Linked DNA regions of Alligator mississippiensis. The protein of the gene in region 4 purifies or fractionates together with the protein of the main gene of each other region. This does not show direct contact. Links are inferred from orthologs where the notes say so. Each region holds a gene or a part of one and is shown on either strand. Other genes may lie near its edges.

The links.
Region 1: the proteins of MMS19 (region 4) and CDKAL1 purify together in Homo sapiens (affinity purification with mass spectrometry; 4 studies listed by BioGRID and IntAct, counting the BioPlex papers as one, with this or other methods). This does not show direct contact. The link is inferred for Alligator mississippiensis from reciprocal best matches to the Homo sapiens genes MMS19 and CDKAL1.
Region 2: the proteins of MMS19 (region 4) and DNA2 purify together in Homo sapiens (affinity purification with mass spectrometry; 3 studies listed by BioGRID and IntAct, counting the BioPlex papers as one, with this or other methods). This does not show direct contact. The link is inferred for Alligator mississippiensis from reciprocal best matches to the Homo sapiens genes MMS19 and DNA2.
Region 3: the proteins of MMS19 (region 4) and PRIM1 purify together in Homo sapiens (affinity purification with western blotting; 3 studies listed by BioGRID and IntAct, with this or other methods). This does not show direct contact. The link is inferred for Alligator mississippiensis from reciprocal best matches to the Homo sapiens genes MMS19 and PRIM1.

The regions. Positions count from the first base shown.
Region 1 is NC_081826.1:117,420,734-117,428,730, reverse strand, and holds the start of CDKAL1 (threonylcarbamoyladenosine tRNA methylthiotransferase), read left to right. Parts: upstream 1-4,991; 5' UTR 4,992-5,097; intron 5,098-6,842; 5' UTR 6,843-6,884; intron 6,885-7,997. UniProt on the Homo sapiens protein: Catalyzes the methylthiolation of N6-threonylcarbamoyladenosine (t(6)A), leading to the formation of 2-methylthio-N6-threonylcarbamoyladenosine (ms(2)t(6)A) at position 37 in tRNAs that read codons beginning with adenine.
Region 2 is NC_081829.1:54,948,534-54,956,238, reverse strand, and holds the start of DNA2 (DNA replication ATP-dependent helicase/nuclease DNA2), read left to right. Parts: upstream 1-4,702; 5' UTR 4,703-4,807; coding exon 4,808-4,872; intron 4,873-5,386; coding exon 5,387-5,566; intron 5,567-7,705. UniProt on the Homo sapiens protein: Key enzyme involved in DNA replication and DNA repair in nucleus and mitochondrion.
Region 3 is NC_081838.1:6,989,138-6,996,500, reverse strand, and holds the start of PRIM1 (DNA primase small subunit), read left to right. Parts: upstream 1-4,359; 5' UTR 4,360-4,418; coding exon 4,419-4,521; intron 4,522-4,603; coding exon 4,604-4,761; intron 4,762-5,040; coding exon 5,041-5,147; intron 5,148-5,235; coding exon 5,236-5,309; intron 5,310-5,615; coding exon 5,616-5,752; intron 5,753-5,903; coding exon 5,904-5,962; intron 5,963-6,371; coding exon 6,372-6,481; intron 6,482-6,750; coding exon 6,751-6,842; intron 6,843-6,945; coding exon 6,946-7,090; intron 7,091-7,172; coding exon 7,173-7,242; intron 7,243-7,363. UniProt on the Homo sapiens protein: Catalytic subunit of the DNA primase complex and component of the DNA polymerase alpha complex (also known as the alpha DNA polymerase-primase complex - primosome/replisome) which play an essential role in the initiation of DNA synthesis.
Region 4 is NC_081829.1:100,703,692-100,711,026, forward strand, and holds the start of MMS19 (MMS19 nucleotide excision repair protein homolog), read right to left. Parts: upstream 3,005-7,335; 5' UTR 3,001-3,004; coding exon 2,898-3,000; intron 2,804-2,897; coding exon 2,755-2,803; intron 2,671-2,754; coding exon 2,570-2,670; intron 2,455-2,569; coding exon 2,369-2,454; intron 2,254-2,368; coding exon 2,179-2,253; intron 1,995-2,178; coding exon 1,925-1,994; intron 1,839-1,924; coding exon 1,710-1,838; intron 1,576-1,709; coding exon 1,514-1,575; intron 1,306-1,513; coding exon 1,219-1,305; intron 934-1,218; coding exon 859-933; intron 772-858; coding exon 694-771; intron 531-693; coding exon 392-530; intron 203-391; coding exon 48-202; intron 1-47. Other genes in the region: UBTD1 (ubiquitin domain-containing protein 1), read left to right, coding at 3,213-3,276, 3,669-3,896, 4,032-4,417; ANKRD2 (ankyrin repeat domain-containing protein 2), read left to right, coding at 5,902-6,048, 6,235-6,396, 6,504-6,611, 6,875-6,973, 7,302-7,335. UniProt on the Homo sapiens protein: Key component of the cytosolic iron-sulfur protein assembly (CIA) complex, a multiprotein complex that mediates the incorporation of iron-sulfur cluster into apoproteins specifically involved in DNA metabolism and genomic integrity.

The DNA.
Region 1 (7,997 bases), on a different chromosome or scaffold from region 4:
GGGGGGTACCAGCTGGTCTCCATGGAGACCCCACCTGCCCGCTCCCTCTGGCACCCCTGGGGGTGGGTGCAGGATGGACAGGCCAGGGTGCCCAGGCAGCAGGGCCAGGTCTGGCAGCAGCACCAACTGGAAGGAACCACAGTAGCGGAGGCTGCCAGGAAGCAGAGTCCAGCCGCTGAGCTGCCCATGCCCTGCTGTGCGCTCAAGGGCAACAGGACTGACTACACATGCCACAGCCTGGGCTGCCCCCCTGTGCCTGAGCTGGGTGGGTCCAAAGGACCTGCTGCAGGCAGGATAAAATCCCTTGGCAGGCTGGATCTAGCCTGTGAGCTGCATCTTGCCCAACCCTGATGTAGGGGCTTTGATCCTGGTGCTGCAACCAGGAGTAGATTTGTCTGAAGCAGATAGATGCTGCCTGCACAAGAGGTAACAGTATGCTGGGTTTTTTTATGACTTGCCTCTCCTATGTAAACCTGGTCACTCTTCTGCTTCTGCTCTAAAACATTTCTGTAGTTTGATTTACCACATGAAATCTTAACTTTCCATAAGTACTGAGCATTAATGAGGTTAGGAGACGACATGCCTTTTCTACTGTGTTTCTTTTCCTTTATGTATTTTCTGATGTAATAGACACACTTCCTCAACACTTGTGGGAGCTATATCTTGAGTTGGGATGGGAGCAGTAGGAGAATAATGGATTGATGACAGAGGGAGAGTAACCAGGAATCAGCTTGGGAATAGAAGTACAGAGGCACTGAATCTGATTCATTGGAAAGTAACACTTGAAATCCTTGGCATGTAAATTGTTAAGCACATGAGATGGAATGGGATTAGATGTTGAACAAGCAGAGAGAAGCTGTTAGCTCTGTACCAAATAGTGACATATGGCTTTTACTCAGAAAAGTAGTTCAAAATTCCCTAAACAGTTGTACAATAATGCAATACATAATAGTTATGGACACAGTTTTCCTCAGCAGCGTTTCCAGGCTGGCTGCTTCTAGAAATCTCCTACTCAGCAATGCAGTAGGTTGGTCTGCATGCATGGGGGTCTGGCATAAGATACAAGGCCAAACGATTCTTGGCTGCCCTGATAAAATCCTCATCTTGCTTAGACTTCATAGCACTTGTGGGGGTCAAGTGACTTTTCAGTGGGTTTTTGGGGAAGTTACTGGTTTTCATGTTGGCCACGGCCATGTTGTTTTGGGTACTTTGTGGGAAATGAGCCAAAATGTGGTCCAACTCTTCAAAGTATGGACAGGTAGTAGGAGCATTAATGCAACACCTGTTCTGCTCTCATGTCTTTAGCTGCCTCTCCTGGAACTTTTTTGGATTGACTCAACCCTGGAAACTGCTCTAGGACGAGCCCCTGTCTTCAATTGCCCTGACAGTGTTTAAACAATGGTGACTTCTCCAAATGAGACTGAACATGCTGTTTCCTAAGAAGGGCAACCAAGTCCAGCACTTTCATAGCAACAGATGAGGGCATGGCTTCTTTACTGAGCATATGAATTCACTGTTATCTTTTTTTGTTGTAAAAGGACACTCATACCAATATCCATCTGATCAAGATGACCCTGTAGCAGCTGAGTGCATTCAGGGACAAGCTGGTTCCAGTGTGAAGCTGTCAGTGTAGGACTGTAGTTGGAGGAAGTAGTTGGAGGTAGTTGGAGTTGTAGCAAGAAGTGAGAGGGTCAGGAATGGGTTTCCATGAGCAGGCTGACTGGGAAGGAGAGTTACTTCTGTTCCAAAGTTAACTTGCTGTGCCCAAAGACACCAAGTAATTTTGGTTTATTAAAAATAAGTTGTATGTGGAAGCAAGGCACTTAAGACAAACCATGCTAACGACAGCCATTCCAATGGGAGCAGGTGATCATGGCTGTACCCCAGTTCCTTGCAGTGATGACAGCCTTGTCTGGAGCAGGGGCAGAACCGCAATCCCCTGCTTGCACGCCCCTGCTCGGAGTGTGCAGACTACAGATCATGGCTCTCCCTGGCTCCAGAGCAAGCTGCCCCATTGCAAGATCCCAGTAGCTCCGGAGTGGCTGAGGCTGGTTTCCAGGGCAAAGCCAGTCTTGAACTTTCCCAGGCAGCTGAGGCTGGGGTCTCCATGGAGACCGGCCTCAGCCACGTGGCAGGGGCTGCTGGGAAATGGAGTCTGGCTGCTGGCTGGATTGGCCTTTTTGCCCACCCCTGGCCTAGATGATGAAGTCTTTTCCGGTTTTAAAACTCTATAAAAAGAATGAGGAGGAGGAGAAATTGCGAAGAAACAGGAAAGGATCTGCTCATGGCTGCACGATAAAGAATGGAACAGTTGGAATTGATTAGCGCTGCCTCTGACTAGTGTCCTAGGAAGATGGATCTCAAACATCTAAAGCAGACTAGACTAGCCAGGTCAGTGCAGGGACTGATGTCCTCAGATGTCTCTATAATCCACTGGCTAGATTCAACTCTTGACTAAAAATGCTATGAAGGTAATACGTTACCTATCACTTTATGTGTATTATGGACAAGGTCCCTGATACACCCTGTGTGTTTACAAGGCTAAGCACAGACTCAACACAAATAGGAACCTGCTTTAAAGCAATAGCAACAATGTTTCTGGGCTGACCTCGGGCATATAACAAAGGTGCTACATGAAAGCATTTAGCAATCTGCCCTAGGTTGATTTGTATTTGAAGAGTTCACTGTTTATTCTTTCAAAGGCTTGTTTTTTCTCCCCCTATTTTCTTTTTCACCTCTCTCACAATGCTTCACTCTTGCTGGTATTCTTTCTAGCTTGTGAATGTCCTCAGAAAAGTATGGTACACAACTTTGGTGTTTGAAATGGGAGTAATTCTAGTCAAGAGGTTTGCAGCAGGAAGTGGGAGGGTCAGGGATGGCTTTACATGAGCAGACTGACTGGGAAGGAGAGTTACTTCTGTTACTGTTTCAAACAAAAGGTCAACAGGCTGCCAAACTTTAGCTGCTGTTAGACTTAGAATTCTAATATGGAGTAGATTCATGACATCTACTGACTTTTCAACCAGTTCAAGAGAAAGTATAATCTGTTGCCTATAGGAAAAAAATCCTTTAAACAAAGTAGCGTGACATTCCAGGTGCATTTATATAAAAAAGTTATATACTCCATGAGCCCTGGAGAAGATACAAGATCAAAAAGGGGTCAATCATCTGCCCTTACCCTAGCAGTCCATAGTGGTTATACACCAGTGGCACAACAGAATGATGTGGCTAGCACCTTATCCAGCTGCTTTTGGCTCCTCAGCCTGCATAAATTACCTAGATTTACTGCTGGGTCAACTGGAGTGGACAGTACAAGTCCAGCACAAGTCCATGCTCACACTCAGACTTCTGGAACTGTAGTAAGATACCCCAAACTCCAAATTTGGAGTTGAAGGAGATGCAGGGCACACAAAAATAAACCTGCCAAATTGTGCACGTTGAGATGTTTCAGCTATAACAGTAGTTTGTTTTCTGATGATATCCTGCTCCATATTAAAAAAAAAAACCCAACATTTTATTGATGTTTTTCCTCTGACCTGGGTCTGCTAAGAACCCACCTAAAGTTGGTGCTATTTATATAAGTGGGACTGTTGCCATTACTTTAGCAGGAGCTGGATTAGGCACACACTTTTATAATCTTGGATGCATAATCTTGCGTTAAATTCATTTTGCAACCTTATTTTCAAAGCAAGTGCAATTTATCTTCAGGCCCTGCCACACGTTCAGCTGAAAGCTGGATAGAAACCAGTGATTGAGTTGTTACACATTTTCAAGCACAAACTTTTTATCTAGTTGGCACTTCTAATAGCTGGATGGACGTTTTTATGTTGTGGTAGTTACTTTGCACAGCTACATCTATTGCATGATTCACAAGTGAAGTTCATGAGTATGGCCAGCCCTCATTGATTGTGTGATTCACCAGGAAATTGTGTGATAACTTTAGATGTGGTTCATTTACAGTGCTCACTTTGCACATCTGGCCAGTCTACATTTATCGTGCGAGTCACTAGTGAACCGCATGATAATACCTTTGCATGCGTGACCTGTTGACATTTATTGCACCATTCACTAGTGAATTGGATGCTAACAACTTTGCACATGTGACCCATCTCACTTTGCACAGGTGGCTGGTCGCAACATCAGCATTTGGGGTCAGAGGGGCTGTGGGTTGGGATTGAGGTGCCATGCTGAGGAAATGGGGCCATGCCAAGAAAAGTTTGGGAGGCACTGGATTATGCATTTCCTCAGTGAATCGCACGATATATGTAATGTCTGGCAAGGACCTTCAAAGTCTCATTTTTCTGAAGGGCGGCATCCTGGCTTTGCAAAGCAGGCTACTTTTTCAAGAGGCCAGGAGCTCTTTTACTGGACTAGCTGCATGGCTGGGAGAGGGGTGGGCAAGCTTGCCCATACACCAGGACCCTCGCTCCGGTCTCTGCTCAGGGCAGGGTGTTGCACTGCCCCAACGCTTTGCCCAGCATTGCCAGGTCTTAAATATGAAATGACTGTATTGCAAGCTCAAAATTATTGTGTGCGCCAAAAAACTACCGTACACTGGAAAAAATATGAAAATAAATATGCAAGTAAATCTTCATATTTACTTTCTATTGCTCACTGTAGGTCCTCATGGAGCGAGACCCAAAAGTCAGTTAAGACTGTCCGAGAGTGACTTGCGCTTTGCAAATGCTGCATCAGTTCGCTCCTTCAAAAAGTCTCCTGCATTTTCACCACTTTTACTTTTCGTACATCGTACGAAGGACGAAATTATCGTACAAATACGACCGGACACACTGCCCCCGCCTTTCCTCCTCCCAGTGGGACGGACCCAGGGGAGGAGCCGCGCACGTTCCGGGACTGGAGCCCGGGCTGGTCCCGCCCCCCGAGCTCTCATGCCCCAGCCGCAGCCTCCCATTGGCCGCCGGGCAAGGTGATGCCCCGCCCTGCGGGCTCGGTGCAACCACCGTTTTCCCCCAACCAACCGCGGCGCGCACTAGTTTGTCCTCTCCGGCGCGCCGTCGCCGCGCTGTCACGTGAGTAGGGGGTGGAGCGGCCATGATGGCGGAGCCCTTCCAAGCCTGAGAGGCGCGAGTGCGGCAGGTGAGTAGTAACGTCTGCCCCTTCCGTTCCTTCACCCCCAGTCTCTGCTGTGGCCGGGCTGCGCCTAGACCCCGAGTGCCCCCGCCCCACGGTTTCAAGCCCCAAGGACGCTGGGAGCTTCCCTCCCCCATGTCCTATTCTTGGGACGGCCCAGAGCGACTGTTGGGGCCCGCGTGAGCGGTTCCATTTCCCGGGGGGCGGGTGGAACGCACGTGGATAGTTCCATTCCCGGGGAGGGGGGTGTGGAACGTACGTGCGGCCCCAGCCGCCCTGACTTGGACTGGTCCGTTTTGGAACTCTTTCTGCCAGGGCCCTGCTGGGGGCTGGAGCTGAGGCTGGGGCCACTGGGTGGAAATGGTGCCTGCGCATCCTGTTTGCCCTTGCTCCCCAGTGCCTTTGGAGCCTAGCTTCCTCATGGGCGAGCACCCTCCCTGCCACCTCCCCACAGGAGTGGGGGGTTGAGGCAGGGCGCTGGGTTCTTCGGCCAGAGATAGGGTGGATTTGCATGTTATGTTCTCTGGCACTGTTGTTACTGTGCTATCCTTCAGCACTTCCTTTTGGCAGTGCTAAATGACAGCCCCTGCTGCACAGTCCAAGCATCTTATTTTTAGCTGCTACGTCGCCATAGTAATGGCACTACTCTAAAGGAGCATGTTGCTGTGGCGGAGTAGCTGCGGCATCACGGTTTTTGCCAGCTGATGCTATGTCACTGTCGCGTCTCATGTAGATGTGTCCAGGGAATCTCAACTGGGGGTCTTGAGAGGGTGCCGCAGGAAGGAGAGGGGAGGCAATTCACAGGCAAGGGAAGGCTCAGGCTACAAGTCGGAGATCAGCAGAAAGGGGCTGGCTCAGGCTCCCTGTGCTGCCCAACTTCTCTGTGAGGAGGTAAGCACTGAAAAGGAACCAATTTCTTTTGGCTAAGATCAAGCACGACAAGGGGCATCTGAACCCCCATATCTGCAGCTTGCACCTAGGATATGGGGAGCATCCCTGGATATGGGGAGCATCTGAAGTCCCAGACTGATGGGTCTGGGAGGGAAGAGACTTGGTCTGTGGTAGAGCCACCCAGACTTGACAGTTGAGTTCTGCTCAGTCAAATTTGGGAACTTGACTATTGGGCTTTGTCCAATTGAATTTGGAACAGATTTTTGCCCTTGGCTAAAAAGAAAAATAAAATCTATTAGCTTTTGAAAGGGGGTGCTGCTCAAGTTGCCCGAGTTCTGGAGGGTGCCTGGAGTTGAAGGAGGGCTGGCTTAGGCCTAAAAAGTTTGAGAAGCACTGTTATAGACTAACTAAATCAGTGATGCTCAAGCTCACCTAAACAATGTCTTACTTCATTAGATGTGTCCGATCTAATGAAGTAAGCTGCTGCTTACGAAAGTGTAGGCATCTCTGATTTAGGTTTGTGCTTGCATTGTCAGTGGAAAGCTGGTAGTAGAAACACGAACACCTTCCCCTCCCCTAGCTTTTAACAACTCTGTCATCACACCTCTTCCATCCTACCTTTCTCTTTTCAGTCTGAATATTTATCCCTGGCTACTGTAGTCACTTCACTACTGGAATCAATGCATGATCATCATGTGTCAAATTAAAAGATCACATTTGCAGCCAAAGCTCTTGTAGCTGTTAAGCCACCGGTTTTAAGAATTTATGATCAGTGTAAAAACACAGCATGCTGCCTGTGACCAGTGCATGAATAGGCTTATGCTAATCTTACCTTTAAGTGCTTTTTTTTTTCTTTTCAGATTCATTAATCAGGAGGACTTAAAAGAACATTTATTGGAAAGGTATTTTTGGATATGGTAATTTAGAATGTGTGTTAGTAGACGCTTTAGAAAATAAGGGGTGCCTAATTAAAAAAAGTTTTATTCAGTAGTTTGGTTCACTCTTCATGTAGGCCAGAGGTATCAAACTCATCTGGCCTCTGGGGCTGGTTCTAGACTGTGGGGCTTGTGGGCTAGACCTAGACACAGGTGGCAGTGGGGTCAGCGGTGGCTATAGCAGTTAATACAGCTGTTGTTTGCCCCTACCACTGAGAGATCCTCAGTGGGGCCCTGTACCATTGATTTGAGCAGTGGGCCTTGCACTTGGTCCCTCCAGATGAGGCCTGCAGGGCACACATTTGACACCCCTGACCTAAGGTGTACTTCAAAGAAGAATAGTAATATTACGAGCCATTTATTTTTTAGGGCTGTATTCTATCCCTTTAGTGCTCAAGTTTTTCAGTGTTGTTTTCATACAAATTGCAGTCATTTGACTCTAGCAATTAGAAATGTTTGATTTTTTTTTTTCATCTAACACTAGACAGATGCAAATTGTGTGTTGAATATTTATGTATATATTCTTAAATCAGTTAAAACCTGACTTGTATTTATTTAGCTTAAGTCGGTAAGCAATTATTCCAACTAACAGTGCAACAGAGAATTGAATTGAATGTCTACCAGTGTCTTCAAATCTGTTTAAGTTTATTTAAATCGCATATTTTTTCTAATCTTTTTTGCGTCTGAGTGAAGACTGGGCCTGTGTGATATTTTGTTGTATGCTAGAGAAGAAACTTCAAAGCTGAGAAAAATGCATTCAGTACCAAGAAGTTCATACTTTGTCAATTAAGTTTACTATTTCCAGTTGTTCTTGATTATATTCTCTGATAAGCAGTATATTTAGACTTTTTAACTTAACCTTTTTATCAGCTAATTGCTCTCTATGTTGAAACGTTCTTGTCTTTTTTTTGTATGAACGTGTAATTTAAAATTTTAAAAAGGTAGAGAAAATGTTGATAAGAAAAGCCTCAAGCCTAAAACCAAACTTAACTCAGAAAAGGTATAGGGGTCAACAGAACGTGCACCACCTTATGGAATGAGATTCTTGAGACCATTTCTTGCAAAAGGAAAGAAATGAGA
Region 2 (7,705 bases), about 46 Mb from region 4:
GAGTTGGTGATCCTCAAGCACCAGCTTCACTGTACTGGATATTTGACTCCTGACTCCCAAAACAAGTACTCTACTCCAAGCTTAGTTGAAGCCTGAAAGCTCAAGGTGGCCAGAGAAAATGCTCTATGGACACATTGAAGGCATACCTCAAGAAAATGTTCACTGACCTAAAGAACTTGGAGGAGCTGGTTGCCAGTTGACTTCAATGGTATCTCCACCTCAACCAACTGGCAGCCTATTTCGAAGTAAAGTTTCTTGCCCTTAAAGCAGAGAAGAAAGAGTGAAGGAAGGAAAAGGAAAGGAATCTCAGCTTAAACCCTACTCTTCTCTGTGGAAAGACCTGCAACTTCAGTGGACAGATGTGTGGCTTGAGGATTGGACTCTTAAATCACCTAAAGACTCATCAGCAAGCCATGGTAAAGGTCATCTTTGAATCAAGGGATTGCCATCACCGATTATGCTAATTTACTTACATACATTTTGCCCCATGGAAGTAAAAGTAATGGAGCTAAATGTGATCTCCCACACCTCTTTTAAATTATTTTGACTTAAATTATAATGAGAGCTCTTAGAACTAGTAAACTTTTTAAAGCAGTGGCCTTTTGCCCAAAAATCATGGGGTCAGGGGGAGGGAGAAAGTATCCCTGCAACTTCTACTAAGATTCCATTTCACACTATGTAAACTGTATTTTGGAGCAACCTACAACGTTAAACATGTCATAATCTTTCCTGAGAGGGGATTTAAGAAAAATAACTTTTATTCTCTATTGTTAAGATTACAGCTTCAGCTAAATAGCAAATTCCATGTATAAGTCAATAAAAAATATCTGTTTGGCAAACTGGAAAAGGTCACATGAATGAGAAGCTAAGAGCGCAGGAAACATTATAGGTAGTACAGGAGGTGCCTGTGTGCTATAACAGAATGTCTGGGTAAAACTGAACTCCATCTGGTAGTATGTGTTCAACTTGTATCTTTGGTAAATTTGTCTAAGGCATGGTAACTATGATGTCCAGATGTGCTTCATACTCATGAAATGACTATCACTGAAAAGCCATTAGAGAGCAATCTAGGGCCATCAGCTTTGTCTCACAACTACTAACCCACCTCTGTGGGGTGCTAGCCTATTTAGCAGACCTTGTTAAGTCCCAAAGCTGTTCTAGGGACCAAGAAAGATTCAAGGAGCCTGTTCCACCAAAATCAAGTACATAAGATAAGTATAAATTAGGGCTGACAAACAATTAAAACAATTAATTGCGAGATTAAAAAAAAAGTCACAATCTCAATTTTAATTGCACAGTTAAACAATAGTTAGCACCCCTCCCACCCAACAGCCCAGAGCCCGTGCTCCCTGTGGCTCCTCCCCGCTACCACCAACAGTGCACAGCCCCAGCTCCGACCCTAGGTTTACCGACGCCTGCTCCAGATTCGCCCCGGCTGGAGCAGACTAACTGAAACCCATATGAACAGATCTGACCCTAGCCCGCCCTGTGCCTGCTCCGAACTCACCTGCCCACTCTGAGCAGCAGCTAAGCAGAAGCTGCTGCTCAGCACAAAGGAAAAGCGGCCCCTCACTGGTGCCAGGCTCTTCTTGCTGCAGCCACCCAGAGTCCTTGCCCAGGCTGACCCGAGACTCCTCTGCACTGCTACCCACAGGCAGAGGGAGAAAAAAAATTTGGGGGGGCTGAGCACTCATGTGCACACTCCCCACCCCCAACAGGAAAGTCTGTGGGGAAAGGGCCATGGAGGGCAGGGAATGGGGTTGCGACCAGGCAGGGATTGGAGCAGAGCCGGGCCTGAGATTGGGGCCAGGGCCTGCTGTATCCATCCCTACCCTTGTGCCCAGGGTCATTGCCCGGTGCTGGTGGCCCCTGCAAATTTGCCACCCCTCAGCCCCGCACCAGCCCTGGCTGCCTCCCTGCACTGGCCCTGGCTCTGCACTGCCTGGGGGGACCTGGAATAGGGCCTGCTTTGGCTGCACCGCTGGGCCAGAGGAGACAGAGCCCATGGGATCCCTGCACCTGCCTCACATCATCCCCAGGAAGAGCCTGGCAGCTCTTATAAAGGCATGGCGCTGGGCAGTCAAGGGGTAGGGGGGCATGTGGCCCCTTGATCTTTGCATGGGGCACAGGCAGGCTGCAGCTGTATTCTGCCTGTCCCTTGCTGCCTCTGAAAGCGGTGCGGTGCCATGTGCCTTACTGTCCGGCCCACCCAGCAGCAGGACTCACCTCCAGGCTTTTACAAAGATCAATAATTAGTACTTTTAAGGAGTAAAATGATTGTTGTTAAGAAATTGTCAATCTAGCATTATAGCTTTCCTGCTATGCTGCTCATGAAGTGATGAAATTAGAAAGCAGAGTAACCACAACTAGGTGGAACTCTGCGGTAGTGTGTGAGGGTGAGGCGGCTTGAGGTTTTGGGATTTAAGATGTTTGGACTGCAGTCCCACACCAAAGAAAATATCTAGAACTCCAGTAGCAGAAACATCAGCTGGATTATATGCAGGTCTGGTGGTCTTAAAAGTCTTTGGGACCTGGCAGCTGGGTCTGTTTTCACAACAGGGGACTGTCCAGAGGAGAACAGGCCCAAATTCTAAGCGACTGAACTGAGGAACTTATCCTTAAAAAAACCAAACAAACCCCCAAGAAACCTATTTAACCAAAGATGAGGTAATAGTGCTTATGCAAAAGGAGGCAAAAAATGTCACATGTAATTGTAGCATTTCTTAGGTTCTGACTGCTTGATTCTGATGTACCCTAACCCTGAGGTTCATGTAGTGCATTAATGCATTATAGTTAATAGTTTTAACACTTCCCCAATTGTCCATTTTGCTGTAACGTGATCTTTCACCTCACACTGAGTTGCCTGTAAAAACTTAAGAATGAAAAGCCATATTTTTGGTGATAGCTTTTACTGGCCCAGTGGTGACTGTTGACAGTGTGGAAGGGGCACAATTTAAGGGTTCACGTGGTGTGCAGTGGGGTTCAGGGCAGGCACTCAAGAGACAAAGGAGTTTTGATTTCTATTCTAGAGCTACTTTTTAGGGTTATTGTGAAATATTAACACCGACGCGGCAAAAAGAGCCGGAGAATGCCGCTTCCGGAGCCATTACCACAATAGGATGGAAGCTCTGAGAGTGGAAAAGAGGGAGGAGATGGGAGTTTCAAAAGAAAAAGAGAGAGAAAGAGGATCCCCAGGGGATAAGAGACTTACCTCAAGACTTCTCACGATGCTGGAGAGAGCAGAGCTCCGAGGAAGAGGGGCGGATCCCCGAGGAGACAAACTACAACCCGCGGGACAGGTCTGGCTACTGCCCTGGAAAGTAAACAAAGAAAAGTGGAGAGTGACTTGACCTACTCTGTCAAGCTTGGAGATGGCATCTGATCGTCTGTCATGAGGATTCAAGACTTCAGGCACACACAAGATAAAAGGTACACACTTATAGCAACAAAATAAAGAGAAAGTATATGGTGGGGTTTGAAGATAAAAGCCCGTCCAAAAAAGATAAACAGACGAACAAGAGAGAAAGAGACTTTGTTTTCTAATACTAAGTTCAGTCCAACCAAATTGACAGCAGTTACATAAGAACATTATATAGATAGAATTACAAAGTTGTTATGATTGATAAGGCTAAAGAAAAAAAGGAAAAGGATATAAATGGACAACTTCTGCCTAAAAGTAAAGAAAGTTTGTATAGAGTGATAAAAGATAAAAATAAAGACAAGCGTTAATCTGAATCAGACTGTGAATATATATATATCGGTGACTGCGTGTGAATAGTTGAGAAGGTGAGCAAGGTATTCCTCTATAATACCGGGACCCCTAATAAAGGCACAACCCCCCCCAAACCAACAAACAAAAAAACCTGAACTATATATAATAACTCTCCTGGCTAGTGACATCAGAAATTAGAACATACAACATCCAAGACATGACAGGCGGGAAAGTCGGGGTACCTATAGTTTTTTGGGAGACTATAAGAGGGTATAAAGAGGAATCCTAAGTGCCACCATCACGGTTATGTTTCGTGATACTTTGTAATAGCAGATGGAGACTGCTAAAAGTTCCTAGTGAAGAAAACTGGCAGGGGGTCTGTGGCTTTCCAGAGCTTGGCCCTTGCCCCCATGGTGCAGCGCTGGTCCAGACTCGCCAGAGCTTGGCTCCTGATGGCCTCGACCAGCTCTGTGCCAAACTCCGGTGTGCCCAGAGTACCCCTGTACCAAGTCCTGCTCCCCACAGATACACCTGTGCCAGAGCTAGTCCCACCGCTCTGCTTTGCTGTCCTGCCGCCTCGTGTATGTGCGGCGCCTCCTGCCCCGCATTTCCACGTTTTACCTTCCCGCTCCCTTCCTCTAAATGAAACTGATGAGCAGTAGAGAAGGGCCGGGCGAGTGCCCCCGCGCGGAGCCAGGGGGTCGGGGTCTGGAGGAGCGCGTCTGCCCGCCCCGCTCTGCCAGTCGACGGCGGCCCCGGGCACGCGGCGGGGCTGGGACTGGTTGCCAGGCCGGTGAATGTGTGGAAGCGCCACGGTGTAAAGCAGGACCCTTCCCCCCGCCGGGTCGCTACCCCACCCACAGCCCCGGGCTCTGAGGCATCCGCGCTCCCGCGCTCCCAGCCGCGCGGCGCCAAAACGGCCATTGGCTGAGCGCCCTCGGGGGCGGGGCCTTCCCTCGAGCCGCACCAGCCCCACGCTAGTGCGCCTGCGCCGCTACTAGCGGGAGTGGTCTTGGCGGCAGCAGCGGGAAGCCAGACCTTGCGATACTGCCGCTGCCCCCGGCGCGACTGGGTTTCTCAGCTTCCGCCAGCGCTATGGAGCCGTCGCGGGACGAGCGGCCGGGGAGCGGTGCCCGCGAAGAGCCGGTGCCGCCGGAGAGGTGCCGCCGGGGGGCGGGGGCGGTTGGAATCGGGAGCGGGAAGCGGCGCCTTAGTACGACCCGGCTCTGCTGTTTGTATAGAGCTGGTCTTCGGCGGGGCTTTCCTGGCACTTGTAATAGCTGATTCAGTCCCTAGAAGCCCCCACTAACGCACCCGATCTGTACAGAACTTGGGTGAGTCGGGTCCGACTAACGCGCTGCCTCTTCTGAGCATGCGCTGGGCTCGCCGTGGGAGCGCGCGAGTTTAAAGTAAAGCCTTTTTTTTTTCCCCAAACTAAGCCACTGTAGATGTATGAGCCACATTGCCTTAAAAAACCCCCCAAAAAACCAAATTTTCTGAAAGAGACCTACCTTGGGGTGAATTTTGGCACGTGTAACTGAACAAGGCTTTTTTTTTTTTTTGCCAGGGAGGTAGTTACAGGAGGAATGGCATTGGAAGGCTACCTTAGTCTTATCTAAACAATGACTATGGCCTTTCTAAACAGTGGTTCTATTAACATCACTTTCATTTCAGTTTTCAGAAGAAAACAGTTGACTTCACTGATACAGTACTCGTTAAATGTTTGAACAACAGATACCGTGTGTTAAGAGTGAATGTAGTACAGAAAAAGGGAGAAGATCCTGAAATGCATCTGACAATTGCAGCATCTCAATCACCTGAGGATACAGAACTATGTATTCTGAGGAATGACTGGTAATTGATATGTAGATATAAACATTTTTTGTAATGAGAATATTTTGGTTTATTAAGTAAATTCTTTATATGCTCATTTTCATTATCTTAAAAGTGCAAACTGAACGCAATTAATCTAATATGGCATTACTGCCATGCTGGTCTTGTTTGTTAATATCTAATTGAGAGCAGTTAGTATCTAGAATAAACTGTATTGTTACCTTACATTTTTCACATAGTTTAGTCGTGGTAAAATAATACGAATAAATAGTTAAAATAGTGAAACTTGAATCATGTGGCTCTGTGTTCACTATGCTGACTTGAGCAGTTAGCATTATTTTGGGAACACAGATTTACAGAAGTTTAGGGCTGGAAGGGACCTCGTGAGATCATCGGGTGAAGCCCCCCCTGCTCTGGGCTGGAAAGACTGCTGGGGTCAAAATAACGCTAGTAAAGTGTGCATCCCGTCTCGTTTGGAAGATCTCCAGGGTAGGTGCCTGCACCACCCCTGCTGGGAGTCTGTTCCAGTCTGGTCACATGAACCGTGAAGAAGTTTTTCCTTATATTCAGTCTGAAACCTTCTAGGAGTTTACTATCATTGCTCCTGGTTTTCCCCTGGGGTGCTGTGGTGAATAGTTGTTCACTTAGCCCCTGATGCTCTCCCATGATATATTTATAAGCTTCCATCAAATCCTTCTGGAATCTTCTCTTTTCTAGGTTTAACAGTCCCGTATCTGTTGGGCTTTCTTCATATGGCTTACTCTTTAGGCCTCTAGCTTAATTGATAAATATACAAAGAAATGGGTATTATAGGTTGACATTGTTGCCTACCCTGGTATACGATTTTTGGCCGGAGCATTGAAAAACACCACAATACCTACCTTGGAAGATGCCGGAGTGCCGGCCTGCCAGAGAAACAAAATGAGGGCAGGGGGTACATGGCAGGATGCCCTGCTTATGCCCCCTACCCCCCAGCCCTGCTTGTGCTCCCAGCCCCCCAGCCTGGGCTCTGTGGCTATCAGCAGCTACCCTGGCTCTAGGTAGCTGCTGGAGCCCAGGGTGATCCCAGCAGGACTTGCAGTCTTCCAGCTGCCTGCTGGCAGCAGCTGCCCAGAGCTTGGGCTGGCTGCAGCTGGGAGGCTCCAAGCAGCTACGCTGGGCTCCAGAGCCCCAGGCATCAATTCCATACCGGCGTGTGCACCCACACATTGGAGCAGGCGGTGGGGGAGGGACCTGAAGCAGTGCAACTCTCGTCTCTTCCCCCGCTCCCAGCACAGAATTGGCGTCTGGGCTCTGGAGCCCAGTGCAGCTGTTTGCAGCCTGCTTGCTGCAGCTGCCCAAAGCCCAGGCTGGCTACAAACAGCTGTGCTGGGCTCCAGAGCCCAGTCACCAGCTCTGTGCCAGGAGCGGGGGGGAAGAGACTGGGGTTGCGCTGCCTCAGGCCCCCTCCCCCATCTGCTCTGAGGTGCTTAAGCTGGCACAACTGTTTGGAGCCTGCCGGCCCCAACTCTGGGCAGCTGCTGCCAGGCAGGAGCCCAGGCTGCTCCCAGCAGGCAGCTGGGACACTGCATGCCCTGCTGGGAGCAGCCTGGGCTCTGTTGCTGGCAGCAGCTACCCAGAGCCAGGGCTGGCCTTGGCGTACTGAGCAAAATGGCCTCGCGTGCCATGCTTGGCACATGTGTGGGAGGTTGCTGACCCTTGCTGTATACCTTGACTTCCAAAAGGCCTTTGATCTAGTATCCCACAATGTCCTCACGAGAAAATTGGAAGATTGTGGGCTTAACTCTGAGACAGTCAGGTGGGTGAGAAACTGGCTGCAGGATAGAACCCAGAGAGTCATAGTGAATGGATCTGTGTCATCCTGGCGAGAAGTGGGCAGTGGGGTTCCGAGGGGTTGGTGCTCGGTCCAGTCCTTTCAACTTCTTTAACGATTTGGATGTGGGGGTGAACAGCTCACTGGCCAAGTTCATGGATGACATCAAGTTATAGGGGAGAGTGGTCATGCTTGAAGATCGACTACAGAAACAGGCGGACCTAGACAGGCTAGCAAGTTGTGTGGATTGGAATCTGATGAAGTCCAATGTCAAGAAATGTAAAGTGCTCCACCTTGGTATGAGCAACTCCCAACGTACCTACAGGCTTGGCGGCACCAAACTAACT
Region 3 (7,363 bases), on a different chromosome or scaffold from region 4:
CCTCTGTGCTGGGGTCGGGGCACCCTCCCTAACAACAGGGCAATAATTAACTGCCCCGGACTCCTTCATCACTCCCAGCTCCAGTGGCCACTTATTAATGAGGTTGCAGCCTTGTGCATGGGGCTTTCTATGGGAGGGAGAACAGTGTCCCAGCCAGCAAGGGCAATACGGCCTAGCCTGGTATCAAGGAGAGATCCAAGTGGGGCTTGTGCTGCAGACAGTAACAACCCCGTATCCCTACCATTCCCCACACACATCAGTTAGGAGCTCACGCATGACCTGCGTTAGCCTCTGTATTACCAGACCGTGAGATGTGACCCTGGCGTTTGCTGCTCTTCAGGGAACACGGAAAATCAGGCTTCCTCGGGGGAAGGAGTCCTTGCCCTCTTGGCCTGGCAGGCAGACTGGATTCAGTGGGGCAGTTCCTTTATTGTGGGCGCTGCTGTGAGCGGGATGCTGTGGCGCCAGGCAAACGGGACCGGGAGATATGCCCTGCCCCACTGAGCTTACAGTCTAGGAGCGAGAGCAGGTGGGCGCCAGCAGGCAGGTGGCAGAGGGAGCCCCAGGAAACACAGCGTAGCTTGGTACAGATGCAGGGCAGCGGGGGGCAGACCAGGCTGCAGCCTGGCGCAGAGCTCATACGTCCCATGCCGCAGCCCCTCGGGGGAAGACACAGCCCCTGTCCAACGTGCCCACTCACACCACTGCTGCAGCTTTGTTGCAGAGGCTGCGGGGAGAATCGGTCCCCTGGAGCTGGGGCCTTTTGGGCCACGAACGGGCTGGGCTGGTTCTGCATGACCTTGGACATCACTGGGGTCCCCAGCATTGCACAAGCTCCCCACTGCTTGGCTGTGTTTATTCCCCAGGCAGCTCCTAGAAGCCACCGTGCGGGTCCCCGTTTCAGGAGCTGCCCTGAGCTCTCCCTTTCTCCCTGTTGCAGAACAAGCCCAGGGGAACCAGAGCTGCTACCTGAGCCCGAGCACCAGGGCCCTGCCCAGCCCCGGAGCGACAGAGTCCCACCTACCCCAGTGCAGTAAGTCCCCCATACTCAGCTGCTCTGCCTGTCTCAGCATGGCTAGCAAGCGTCCTGCAGTGCCCCTGGGAACTCCTCCGGGTTTTCTTTGCACACTAACTGCTTGTTAATCACTTGTTACCCCCTCCCCACAAGTGTCTGCAGGGTTTGGTCAGAAGCATTAAGCCGAGGAACCCGGTCCCTGGCTGTAGGGAGTGAGGGGCTTAGCTCTGCTAAGTGGGGGACACAGCTCCGATGCCACCCACCTCTCAGACTCCCCCTACCTCCTATTATGCAGCCTGGGCTGGTTTGGGCAAGACCAGGTCAGCACCAGGTCGGCCACAGCCGTGGGCATGTAGGAGAGGGGGATGAAGAAGAACTGGGCGTCCCAGCCGCCGGAGTAGCGGGTGCGGGGGTGCTGGGCGGTCAGCGCGTGCTCCACGCAGTCGGTGACCAGGGGTAGGTTGGAGCTGCACCCCTTCTGCAGCTTCTCCTGGGACAGCCTGTAGACTGAGCAGAGCCAGGGTGGGGGGTCAGCCCGGGGCAGAGCCTTGGGCATGGGCAGGCACGTGCCCGAGTCTGCAGACAGCCTGTGGCCAGGGTCTGAGCAGGCTGGCAACATGCAGTCACTTCTCTCCCACCCACATGTACACAGACACGCTGCAGGGGCACTCAGCACGCAACACTCACACCCAGCCGTGTTCTGCTATGGCTTCCCCCAGGTCACTGCCGCAGGGCTCCTGGGAAGAGCTGCATCCTGCTAAATGAGGGTGAGCCCTCCAGCAGTGCTCACTGCGAACCGGCCCATGCAGCCTCGGGGAGGCATGACGTAGCATGATCTGGCGTGTTGTATGTAGCCGGCAAAGGGGGCTGTTTGGATCCTGCCATGCACACATGGTTCCTTTAAGGGGTGCTCGCTGCTTCAGGAGAAGAGGCCCTGGCTGCAGGGCGGTGGAGACAGCAGGGAGCAGACCACAGACAATGTGCTGGCCCCTCTATTGCCTCTGGAAGCACCCCCTCCCCGCTGACTCCCCTCGCCCCGAAGAGGACAGAACAGTGCTCACGGGTCTCGAAGTACTGCTGCCCGTAGCTCTCCCGGACCTCCGGCGAGGCACACTGCCATGCCTGCTTCAGGCAGCCCAGGTTGTTCTCAATGTGTGTCATGGGCGTGTGGAAGTAGCCCGGCTCCACCATTGCCACCTTCACCCCGAAGGACCAGAGCTCGTGCCTGGGACAGAGGCAGCCGTCACGCCTCGCCACAGCCCCACAAATGCCTCCCGTCCCACGCCGTGGCCCGAGGGGCAGCCCGTGGCCCCGCATTACCTGAGTGAGTCGGAGAAGGCCTCCACACCGTACTTGGAAGGGCAGTAGCCACCACCACAGAAGGCCAGTCTGCCCAGGATGCTGGCCACGTTGACAACGCGGCCCCGGGCTCTGCGCACCAGGGGCAGCAGGCTCAGCGTCACCTCGATCAGCCCCACCAGGTTCACGTCCAGCACCCTGACGAAGTCAGCCTTGCTCAGCCACTCGTTGGGGGCCACTGGCAGCACCACCCCGGCATTGTTCACCAGGCCCCAGAGCCCTGCGGGGTGAGGGCAGGGAGTGAGCCTGGGCAGAGATGGGACGGGAGACTCCCCCACTCGGGCACGAATCCCAGTGCCGCCAACATCCTGGCCCTGGGCTTACTGCTGAACAGACCCTCTGAGACCCTCCTCTGCCCTCAATGTAGCGCTTTCGCCCTATGATGTGGCTCCACGCCAGAGTCCAGACCCCCCATCGCTCCCCTCCAAAGTGGGACACAGCACCCAGGAGTCCTCGCTCCCTTCTGCCGGCAGCTCCTTTCCCCGTTGCCCCCACAGAGCCCCTCCTGTTGGAGCTCAGAGCTGCCCCGGAAAAGGCAGGAGGAAACACAGAGGATTTTCTCCCTGCACCCCAGTGTCACCCACCCCGGACTCGGGATGCATCGTGCCAGGGATACAGCAGCCTCACCTCGGTCCCCCACCTGCCCCTTCACCCAGGCAGTGGCCGCGGCAATGCTGTCGGAGCGAGTGACATCCAGGATCACCGTCTGCAGCCTCCCCGACGTCGCCTGCCGCAGCCGCTCGGCCCCCTGCTCCGTCAGACACGCCGCCAGCACCCGCAGCCCCCGCCCGTCCAGCTGCTTGGCCAGCAGGTGCCCGAAGCCGGAGTCGCAGCCCGTGATGAAGACATGTTTGTCCGGGAGGTTCCCGACCGTCTGCCGCTCCCGGTACCATCGGCACAGGAGGTACAGCGCCAGCAGGGCCACCAGGTACAGCCACATCTTCACAGGCGTGGGGGAACAGCCACCTGAGGTCAGAGCTGTGTCCAAATGCGACCACCTCTGGGGAGGTTTCCAGCAGCTCCTCGCAAGTCATCAATAGCTGGGTGCCTGTCAGCCTGGGAGGAGCTGGCCCAGTCAGGCAGTTGCAATTCAGCACTGGACTTTTACCCACTATGGAGGAAAATATTGTTATTCCCTTCCTTCCCCAGCCTCGCTCATGGCCAAGAGACCAGCTGCAAGCTCTGGAGCAGGCATGGGGCATGGGGACCTGGCACCCACCTTTACCCCAGGGTACAAGTGTGCCCCTTGGCAGTAACACAGGGCAGCTCACCGCTGGTAATCTGTATCTCGGCTTGCCCCGGGGATCCCTGCCCCTTCCCGTGCCCATCCCCTGGATGATCCTAGTTCTGGTCACGCCAGCTTTGGGCTCAAGATCACTCCTGCTTTTCCCTTTGGGGTCACCCCTGACGCTGGGATGTCTGGGGGAAACCAGACAGAACTGGGGCCTCCCCACCCCCCCCCCACTTACCTGCCCTAGCTGCCTCCAGCCTGGAGCTGCCCAGGGCAGGGGTGGTTGATGCCTGTGCGAGACCACCCCAGGTACGGCCTGGATGCAAACCCCCCATGCTCCCCCACCTGCCCCCTGTGCCACTTGGCTCCGGCTCCAACGCTTTTCCACAAAGCCACTCATCTGGTGGCGGGGACACTGTCCTGAGGGCTGCTTGGCTGGTGGCGGGGTCACGGCACTGCCCTGGGTGATCATTAATCGCCCTGGAGGTCAGCAGGTCCTGCCTAGGGCCGGCTCTACCCGCGGCCTCGGGGCCAGGGATTCATGGGGGCTGGAGGGCAGCAGCTCCTGGGGTCGGTCCCGCGGCCCTGCCCCACGCTGCACGTGGGGCCGGGATCAGGGCGGTGCCCGGCGCTGCGCGGGGGCGGAGCGGTGCTCGGCGCTGCACGTGGGGCCGGGATCAGGGCGGTGCCCGGCGCTGCGCGGGGGCGGGGCGGGGCGGGGCGGGGCTCGGCGCTGCACGTGGGGCCGGGCCCGGACTACAGCTCCCAGCCGCCCGGGCCGGGGCCGGTTTCGCGCGCGCCGCCGCCGGGGCCATGGCGGGGTTCGAGCCGAGCGCCCTGCCCGAGCTGCTGCCGCTCTACTATCGCCGCCTCTTCCCGCACGGGCCCTACGGCCGCTGGCTCGGCTACGGAGGCGGTGAGTGCGGGGCTGCGGGCCGGGCCGGGGCGGGAGAGCGGGGCCGGGGACCCGGGCACCGAGCCGGCGGCTCCCCCCGCAGTGGAGAAGAACTACTTCGCCCGCCGCGAGTTCTCGTTCACGCTGCGCGACGACATCTACGTGCGGTACCAGAGCTTCGAGCACCCGCAGGACCTGGAGAAGGAGCTGCAGAAAACCTGCCCCTACAAGGTGGACATCGGGGCGGTGTACTCGCACCGGGTGAGTTGGGGCACGGGGCTGCCTGAGCTGGCATGGCGCGCTGCCCTGGCCCCGTCTGCGCTGGCAGAGCCCGGGCGTCGCGGTCTCTCCCCGTGTCGGCGCCCGGCGGAGAACCCGGAGTCGGAGGCCTGGGTTGCAGCAGGGGTCACGGGGCAGGCGTTCAGCTCCAAGGCAGCCGGGCGGGGGCTACATCTGCCCCCAGAAGCCAGACGGCTCCGTGGGGGACGTGCGGGGTGCGGAGCGGCGGCCCCCGGCGCTGACCTGTCGCTCCCGGCCCAGCCGAGTCAGCACAACGCACTGCGCTCGGGGGCCTTCCAGGCCCAGGAGAAGGAGCTGGTGTTCGACATCGACATGACCGACTACGATGACGTCCGCGGGTGCTGCAGGTACTCGCCGGGGCCTGGAGGCCGTGGGGGTGGGTCAGCACTGGTGTGTCCAAAGCCAGTGCCATCCCCATGGCCTCCCTCCCTGCAGCTCGGCCGAGATCTGCTCCAAGTGCTGGACCCTCATGACCATCGCCATCCGCGTCCTCGACCGAGCACTTGTGGGCAAGTACCCATCCGTCAGGGTCCGGGGGGTGCAGCACCGTGGTTCCTGGTTGTATCAGGGTAGTTGTGGCGGCTGCAGGAACCCAGTTGCCCAGTTGGGGCTCTCAGCACCGCTGTCCTGGGCCCAGCCTTGCTTACTGCAGGACTGGGGGCTGCGGGTCTGGAGTTAGGGGCACCAGAAGGGCTGTCCGGGAGGGGGGCAAGGGCTGCAGGTTGGGAGTCCGGGAGTGAGGGGCAATGGTCAGACTGGGGGGTGCTCCTCCCCCCCAGCAGGCCCTGCCTGACCCCACACCTTGTGCCCCACAGAGGACCTGGGGGTGCAGCACCGCCTCTGGGTGTACTCGGGCCGGCGCGGCGTGCACTGCTGGGTGTGCGACGACACTGTGCGCAAGTGGTCCTCCTCGCTGCGCTCCTCCATCGTCGACTACCTCAGCCTGGTCAAGGTGCGGCAGGGGGTCTCCTGGGGGCTGCATCTGACCCCAGTCCCCCATTGCAGCTGCTCCAGGCAGGCCAGGTGCTGGGAGCTGTCGCCTGGCACCCGGGCCTGGGGCAGATTTGCTCCATCCTGACCATCTCCTCTTGCTCCCCGCCCAGGGTGGGGCTGACACTGTCAAGAAGGTGAATCTCTCTGACCCTGTGCACCCCTTCATCAGGTTAGTGCCCCCCCATGAAGCCCCTTGACAGGCCCTAGTCGTGGGCCTGATTCACCCCAGTGCCAGGACCACTCTGCCCTGTGCTGGCAGCTCCCTCCTGCCTGACCTGGGTGCCGCTCCACCCCCGGGGACCAGGCGTAGTAGACAAGCTTGTTGGGAACAAGGCAGCAGGGATCCAAAGAGACCCGTTCCTCTCTGGAGGGCAGTAGCTCCCTTATGGCCTCCCCTCAACCAGGGTGGGGGTGCCCCCAAGGGACCCCTATTGGTACCCCCCACAGCTGGAAATGTCCCCGCAGTCCCAAAGTAGGCACAGACTTGGCCAGGGGAGGGTCCCAGCGTCCTGGGAGCGGAGGGCCGCAGGCATGGCCTCCAGGGAGCCAACCCCACCATCCCGTCTGCTTCTCCCCAGCAAGTCGCTGCGCCTGGTGGAGGAGCGCTTTGAGGAGTATGCACTGCTGGGGCAGGACATCCTGGGCAGCCGTGAGAGCTGGGACAAGGTGCTGGCCCTCGTCCCAGAGCATATCCTTCTGCCCAGCTCCAGCTGCCTTTCACTTTGCCTGGGGAAGGGGCTGGCAGCGGTGGGGGCTTGCATGTTTAGGGCCAGAGAAGCATGCAGGGGAGAGCTTGTGCCCGTGCTTGTGTGCACATGCTCACGTGTTGACACATGCTGCATTACAGGCTCTACATCTGTGTCCATCTAGTGCTTCGGTGCAGACCTCCGTGCTTCCACGCATGGTTGAGGGGGTGGGGGGTCCATGCAATGTTGTCAGTCCTTAGCTGGTGCCCACCCCTGCGCGAGCAGCTGCAGCAGGATTTTCCCCGGAAGCGTGACTCGGTGCAGCGCTGGGCCCGGCTAAAAGCCCTCGTCGAGAAGTCCAGGGTGAGAAGCTGGGGGGCAGGGGGCACTGGGAGGCTGTTGAGGGGGGCAGGCCACTGCTGGGTGCAGGGGGAATTCAACTGTCCTTGTTTCCCCGCCCCCACAGCAGTCCTCAAGCAGCTCGAAGAAGCTGCCATCCTACGCAGAGAAGGAAATCATGCTGCAGTTCTGTTTCCCACGCCTGGACGGCAACGTCAGCAAGGGCCTCAACCACCTGCTCAAGAGCCCCTTCAGTGTCCACCCCAAGACAGGTACAGCCCAGGGGAAGGGACCCCCAGGGCAGGGAGTGGACCCTGGTGAGCCTGGACATGATGTGGACTTTGCCCCCGGCAGGTCGCATTTCAGTCCCTATCGATGTTCAGCGGCTGGACCAGTTCGACCCCTTCGCCGTCCCCACCATCAGGTAGCTGTGGGTCACTAGCCCCTCTAGGCTGCTCTGCCCAGCCCCGAGCGGGCCACCCCAGCAGCAGAGTGGCCTTAGGGGCTTCTGGTCAGTCCCCTCCTACTCTCTGGAGTACCTTGTA
Region 4 (7,335 bases):
GGGGCCGTGTGACCCCAGAGGAACCGATGCTGCCGGGCGGCGCTCACCTGGGGGTGCTGGTTGTACTGCTCCAGCAGCAGGGGCAGGACGCTGCCAGCGATGTGGTGATAGGCCCGGAGTGAGGCGCTGGCTGCGGCTTGCAACAGCTTGGCACTTGGCCACACCAGCTTCATGTCAGGCTCGCACAGGTGGTGCCGGCAGTCTGGGGACACACACATGGCACCTCAGCCATAGGGTGAACGCGCACACAGGTACACGTGCCTGCCAGCTCACGGCCACAGAGCCAGGGACAGCTCAGCCCGGCCACGGCCCACCCTGTGTAAGGCATCACACCGGGTCAGCCCCTTCCCCAAGCTGGCACCAGCATCTGCCATGCAGCCGGGACAGTTACCTTGCAGCACACCACTGAGAAAGGTGTCCAGCGGGTCGTGGGTGTCGGCGTGGAGCACGGCGTGGGACAGGCAGGCGGCCAGTGCTGTCAGTGTACCCAGGCACTCTGCCTCCAGCTTCTCGCTCGCTGTCTGGAACACCTGGGGATAGGGGTGGGGGCAGCTGCAGGGCCCAGGCCTACACAGACCGTGTACCCCACGCCCCAGGACAGGGGCCACAGCCCGAGCCCCCACTGTAGCCTCCTGACCCACCTGACGTGGGCTGCCCCCCACCTCTGGCAGGGACCCTACCGGCCTCACTCACCTCCCGACGCAGGGAAGCCCAAAGGCTGGGCAGGAACTCTTGCAGCTCCTTGGGCCCGTAGATGGCACAGCAGGCACTCTGCAGGGCACAGCGGGCGCGGAGTGAGGGTGCAGCCCCTGCTGGGGCTCTGGGGCCCCTGGCGGGCTGGGTGGAAGCAATGCTCACCAGGGTTTGCACGGCGTCCAGCTTGGCGCTCTGCAGCTCCGAGTCCATTTTCTCGATGAGAAGCGGCAAAAGGAACTGCGGGGATGGGCTCAGTCTCAGGGTCCTGGCTCCAGCTGGGGCCTCAGGTGGCTGCTGCCTGGTGCTCCCAGACGCTGCTCCTCAGCCTGGTGCCCAGTGCCAGCCTGGCCCAACAGACCCTCCTCCCACCACTGAGCAGCAGCGAAGGAGCTGAGCAGACGGCACGAGGGTGCCTGAGCGCTGGAGCGCAGCTGGTGCCCGGAGCCGAGTGTCCCAGCCCCCCACCGCACGCTGCAGCCCTCCTGCCCTGCGCAGCTCCACACCCCCATTGACGCATCTCACCTCAGCGAACTGGGGCGTGGAGGCCAGCACGGCGCGGAGGCTGACGATCAGATCTTCCCGCTGGATGCCGTGGGGGTCGTTGGGGGGCTGCAACAGAAGCGCAAGGAGCCCAGGGCTCAGCAGAGGCTCCTGGTGCGGTGCCTGGTCCAGCACAGGTGCCAGGGGCGAGGCTGGGACATGCGAGACCTGCCCCCGCCTCGGGTGCCGAGACCCTCTGGACAGCTCCCAGCCCCGGCTCCCTCTTGCGGAAGGGCAGGTCTGGTTTGGGGCTGCGGCTCCGGACGGACTCGCTCACCGGGGTGAAGTCGATGGGGAAGTAGCAGGACGTCACCTCAAACAGCTCCTCCACAAAGGGGCCTGCGAGAGACAGCGGAGCCGCAAGCTGAGCGCCAGCCACAGCCGCCTGGGCCCAGGCCCCGGAGCAGCGTTGTGGACCCGGCGCCGGGCAGCCCGGGGGGGTGGGCAGCGCCTGGCGGGACAGGGGCTCTCACCGAGCGCGTAGCCCTTGAGGACGAGGTCGCGGACGATCTGGAAGGCAACCAGCAAGTTGCGCGGGTCCTTCTCGCCGTCCATCACCTGGATGAAGCCGAAGGTGAAGTCGGTGCCGAGGCTCTTCAGCTCTGCAGGGACGGGAGCAGACACGGGGCTCGCTCAGGGCCTGGCACCCCAGCACCCCCCCCCCCCCCCACGGGGCCTGGGCCCGCACCTTCCTCCCGCGTCCGCATGAAGTTGGTGATGATGGTGTAGACCGTGTGCCGATCCAGCTGCAGCAGCGACTGCGGGGCAGAGAGGTGTCAGCGCCACCCCGACCGCGTCTGTGCAGGGCAGCACCCCGCGGCCCACGGCAACAGCCCGTCCCCGCACACGCAGCGCACGCCTGGGAGCACGTGCAGAGCACAACACGTGTCGCTCTGGATGCGCTACATCCCAGCGGCTGAAGGGGACGTGGGGGCTGCTCACCTGCACGTGCACCTCCTGGAAGATGGCCTTGAGCACCGACACGGCCAGGCCCGGGGCCAGCGCCTCGCTCAGGCTCTACGGACAGAGCATGCGCGGCTGAGAGCCCTTCCTGCCCCGCGCCCCTGGGTGGGCTGGGGCCGGGGCACGGAGGTGCCGCGCGCGTGGCCGGGGCACGGGGGCGTGAACTCACCAGCGCGTGCAAGCCGTGCAGCACGGCGGGGATCACCAGGTGATGGTCCTTCAGGCGCGCCTCGAAGAACAGCACCAGGTGCGTCACTGCGGGGAGCGAGCGCCGCGCGTCACACCTGCCCCAGACGCCGCCACCACCCGAGCCCGGTCCCAGCCCCGCTGCCAAGAACCGCCGCCCCCGGCCCCGGCCCCGGCCCCGCACCTTCCGCGTGGCGCAGGGCGCCGTGGCAGCGCAGCAGGACCTGGCCCAGCAGCTGCAGCCCGCGGGCGCGTGTGCGCGGCTCCGGGTGCTCCAGCGACGACCTGGGGGAGAGGCGGTGAGCGCGGCGCGGCGCGGCGCGGCGCGGGGGAAGGGGACGAGGACGGAGACGGGGACGGGACTCCTACCCGAGCGCCTCCACCACGTCCAGCGCCGTCCAGCTCCCGGCGCGCAGCCCTGCGGGACGGGAAGGGTCAGAGGTGACACACGCGCGCACACACATACGCCCGCCCGCCCGCCCGCCGCGCGTGCAAGCCCCGCCGCCCCGCACCTGCCGCCACCTCGGGCGCGGGCCCGTCCTGCAGCCCGGACACGAAGTCATGCACGAGCGCCCGCAGCGCCGCCATGGCCCCGCCCCGCCTCGCCCCGCGCATGCGCGCCGCCCCCAGCACGTGACCCGGGCCCGGCAGCGCGCGGGCGCGGGGCGGGGCCTGCGCCGAGGGGCGGGCCGCGGGGGCGGGGCCGCGGCACGTGGGGGGCGGGGCCGGGCCGGGCCGGGCCCAGCCCGCTTCCCTCCGCCGGGTCTGGCGGCGCCGGGACGAGCCGGGTCCCGCGGGCTGGCGGGCCGGGCCGGGCCGGGCGGGACATGGGCGGCTGCGTGGGGAGGCCGCGCCGAGCCCCGGGCCCGCGACACGCGCGCAAGCGGGCAGGTGAGCGGGGCAGCCGGTTACGTAACCCCCCCGGACCGCCCCGCCCCGGGGATACGGGCACGGGCACGGGCACCGCGCCGCGACGGGGGCACACGGGGGGCTGGGCCGGGCCGGGCCGGGCTGCGGGGGGGGCAGGCTCGCGCGGGCCGGGCCGGGCCGGGCCGGGCCGTGGGGGGTGGCGGGGGGGGGGGGGTGTTGCGGCCGTGACTCACGCCTGGTTCCCGTCACGGGCCGGGCGCGCCCGAGTAATTGCCGGGCCGGGCTGGGGCAGCCGGAGCAACAGGACGTGCTGCCGCCCCCGCCCGCCCGCCCGCCCGCCGGCGACATGCCCGGGGCCGCGGCCGCAGCGGGTGGCAGAGCCCCTCGCCGGCTGACCGTGCCGCTGCCCGCAGGCCGCAACGAGCCGCTGCGCAAGGAGCGTCCCAAGTGGAAGAGCGACTACCCCATGACGGCCGGGCAGCTGCGCAGCAAGCGCGACGAGTTCTGGGACACGGCGCCCGCCTTCGAGGGCCGCGCCGAGATCTGGGACGCGCTCAAGGCGGCCGCCGGCGCCGTGGAGGCCAGCGACCACGGCCTGGCCCAGGCCATCCTGGACGGCGCCAGCATCACCCTGCCTCACGGTAGGCGCCGCGCCGCGCCGGGGGCCCGGTCCCCGGGGGTGGGAGAGACGGGCTGGGGTGGTGGCGGCCGGGGGTCGGCAGCGAGGGGCCGCGGGTGGGCAGCGCGCCGGCCCTCACCGGCTGTGCCCGGCGCAGGCTCCCTGACCGAGTGCTACGACGAGCTGGGGAACCGGTACCAGCTGCCCGTGTACTGCCTGGCGCCGCCCGTGAACCTCATCCAGGAGCGCGGCGAGGACGAGGGCCCCGAGGCGGCGGAGCCGGCGCCGGGCGCGCGGCGCGAGTTCCCGCTGAAGGTGCGGCTGTCGACGGGCCGGGACGTGCGGCTGGGCGCCAGCATGGCCGACACGGTGGGGCAGCTCAAGCGGCAGCTGCAGGCCCGCGAGGGCATCGAGCCCGCCTGGCAGCGCTGGTTCTTCTCGGGGAAGCTGCTGACGGACCGCACGCGCCTGCAGGACACGCGGCTGCAGAAGGACTTTGTGGTCCAGGTCATCGTGAGCCAGCCGCCGCCCCCCAGGAACTGACCCGGCGGTGGGCACGGCCCCCAGGCCGCGGCGCTCGGGCTGGCCCCGGCGTGGACGGGCACCGGGGCTCGGCCCCCCCGCGCCCCTGGAGGAGTGGCCTGCACCCGCTGGGCCGCTCCTGTGACAGGCGCTGCCTGGGGCGGTGCCCGCGGGGGCTGGCGGGGTCCCCCCGCCTGAGCCCCCTTGGACTGTGCTGCTCGTGCTGGAGCGGAGACGCAGCGGGAGCCGCGGTGCAGGGCGCCCGCGGGGCCGGGGCCGCCGTGTCCGTACTCTGTATTTATCAATAAATCCTTCCCAGCTCGGCGGTCTGCGGGGATGCTGGATGGTGACGGGGGCAGTGGCACCGAGGCCACGTTACCCCCGGGGGTCCTGTGCCCGGCTCCTCCCCGTTGCTGGTTAGCTCCTGGCTCCTGTTGGCTCTGCTCTTCCAAGCGCCCTGTCCTCAGCCCCAGGGCTGCAGCGAGCGTGCGCCTGTGTGTGCCGGCACACGCCTGTGCGGGGGCTGCTGGTGGGGGGTCCTGCTCCACGCTCCCTGCCTGGTGCCCCCCACCCCGGCTTGTTGCAGCGCACAGCTTGTCGCCTTCCCAGTGCAGGACCTGGGGGAGGGACCCCCACTGCACACCGAGGCAGCGACCTCCCGTGACCTCAGAAGGGAAGGGTCAAAGGTCACCCTCAGGCTCTAGGCTGGAGCGTGCCTGCCTCGTGGTCCTCGGGCGGTGATGACTGTGGCATCTCCCTTGCCCCCTCCTCTGGTCCCAGCGGGGCTGCGCGCGGTGCGCAGAGACAGGAATAGCTCCTGCCCGAGTTATTCCAGGCAGGCTGGGGTCTGGCCAGCGTGTCCCTGGGGGCTGGCGGAAGTGCCAGTGCCTGACGTCATCTGCCACAGCAGCGCGGAGGGAGCAGCATGTGCGGCATGGAGCAGGACCCCAGCTCCAGGGGCATCGAGAGCTGCCCTGGGGTACTGGCTTGGGATGGGCCCAGGGCTGCCGCAGGGCAGGGGGTGACCAGCTCCAGCGCTCTGCTGCCCCGGTGCGGTGGCTCTGGCTCCTGCCCACACCACAGGCCGGAGCCCCCCTCGGTCCCCCTGCTGTGCCTGGGGCCCTTTAAGGGCGATGCCCAGCGCTGCGGGAAGGTGACCGGGGAGAATGTGGCCGGTGAGCTCATGACAAAAGCCCCCGGTCACAGTCACGGGGCGGGCACACCTGTCCCTTGGGCGCCGCATAAAGCCTGGAGCAGCCGAGCAGCTGCGGGCACAGCAGCGAGGACCCGCCGCAGCTCCCAGCGCCAGGGCAGGCGGTGCCCAGGGCCGGAGCCATGGCGGCGACTGTGGAGCAGGACCTGAAATGGGCGACGGAGCTCATCGACCAGAGGCTGGCGCAGGAGGAGGCGGCGAAGCAGGCGAGTCCGGGGACGCCGGAGCCGGGCTGAGCCCTGGCGCTAGCCCCGATGGCCCTTCCCTGCGGATCTAGCGCCTTACCCGGGCAATGGCACCCAGCCTGGGGGCTGAGGGTGTCTGTGCTGGGTTTCAGAGCAGCTCTGGGCAGCCGCCAGCGCTGGTGCGGATGGAGGTGCAGGAGCTGGAGGATGAGAAGCACCGGGGGGCCCTTCCCCTCGGCATCGCCGTCCTCAAGGTGAGGGGTGTGGGGGGGCGCAGCTGGGCCGGCCCCTCGTCCCGGCAGGCGGCTCTCTAGGAGCTGTGGCCGCCGTGGTCAGGGGGAGCCCGGGGCAGGGTCAAGAGTAGGGGGGAGAAGCCCGCTGATGGCCAAGCACCACGAGGCAGGGATCCAGGCAGACACCTCACTCCCTCCCTGGTGCAGGGCCAGGAGCGGGTGCGGAGGAGCTCGGTGGACCTGCGGCGCGAGATCATCGACGTGGGCGGCATCCAGCACCTCATCGAGCTGCGCAAGCAGCGCCGGCGCCGGCGGGAGGAGCGGGCCGCCACGCCTGAGCCGGCGCCCGAGCCGGAGCCCGAGGACCTTGTAAGGGGCTGGGGTTGAGCCAGAGCCCAGTGGGGCCTGGGGGTCAGGACAGCACCCTCCGGGCGGGGTCCTGGGGTGTAGGAGTCCCATGTCCCCCTGCCCGGCAGGATGCCGCGGTGGTGCCGGAGACGTTCCTGCGGGCGGCCGTGCGGGGCCAGCTCCGCCTCGTCGAGAAGTTCCTGGCTGACGGCGGCTCCCCGGACACCTGCGATGAGGTGGTGCCCCCAGCCCATCCTGGGCCCCCCACGGGCAGCGCCGGGGAGCTGGGCGGAGGGACGATGCACCGGCTGGGCTGGCAATGCTGCGGTCCGTCTGGCCCTTACGGACCCGGCACAGCTGCTCTGTGCCTGGCAGGGCTGCTTGTGCCCCTGGGTGCTGGGCAGGGGTCTGCAGGCGCCTGGTGCAGGCGGGGGACGCAGCCCTCGGGGTGGGGAAGGTGGAGGGGCTGTCCAGTGATGGCGGTGCTGCCCCGGGGCAGTTCCACCGCACAGCGCTGCACCGGGCCTCGCTGGAGGGGCACATCGAGATCCTGGAGAAGCTGCTGGAGCACGGCGCCACCGTGGACTTCCAGGACCGGGTGAGATGGGGGCAGCCCCCTGTCCCTGCCACGGGTCTGGGGAGGGCACCTGGAGGAAGCATTTGGGGATCAGCCCAGAGCCCCCAGAGGTGGCGGAGGAGCCCTACTGCAGTCTGATTGGCTGCCCGTCCCCTCTGCCCTGCCCCTAGTGGAAAAGCAGCCAATCAGGGGGCTGCTCCTGCAAGGGCTGGTCACCCTTTCTGCAGTGTGAGGGGCATGGGGTCCTGGGTGTGGGTGGGGCAGGGGGAGTTGTGGGGCAGGTGGGGGGGGTTGTGGGACGTGGCCAGGCAGGGGCTGGCCTGGCCCTGACGTGAGCATCTGTGGGCAGCTGGACTGCACGGCCGCGCACTGGGCCTGCCGTG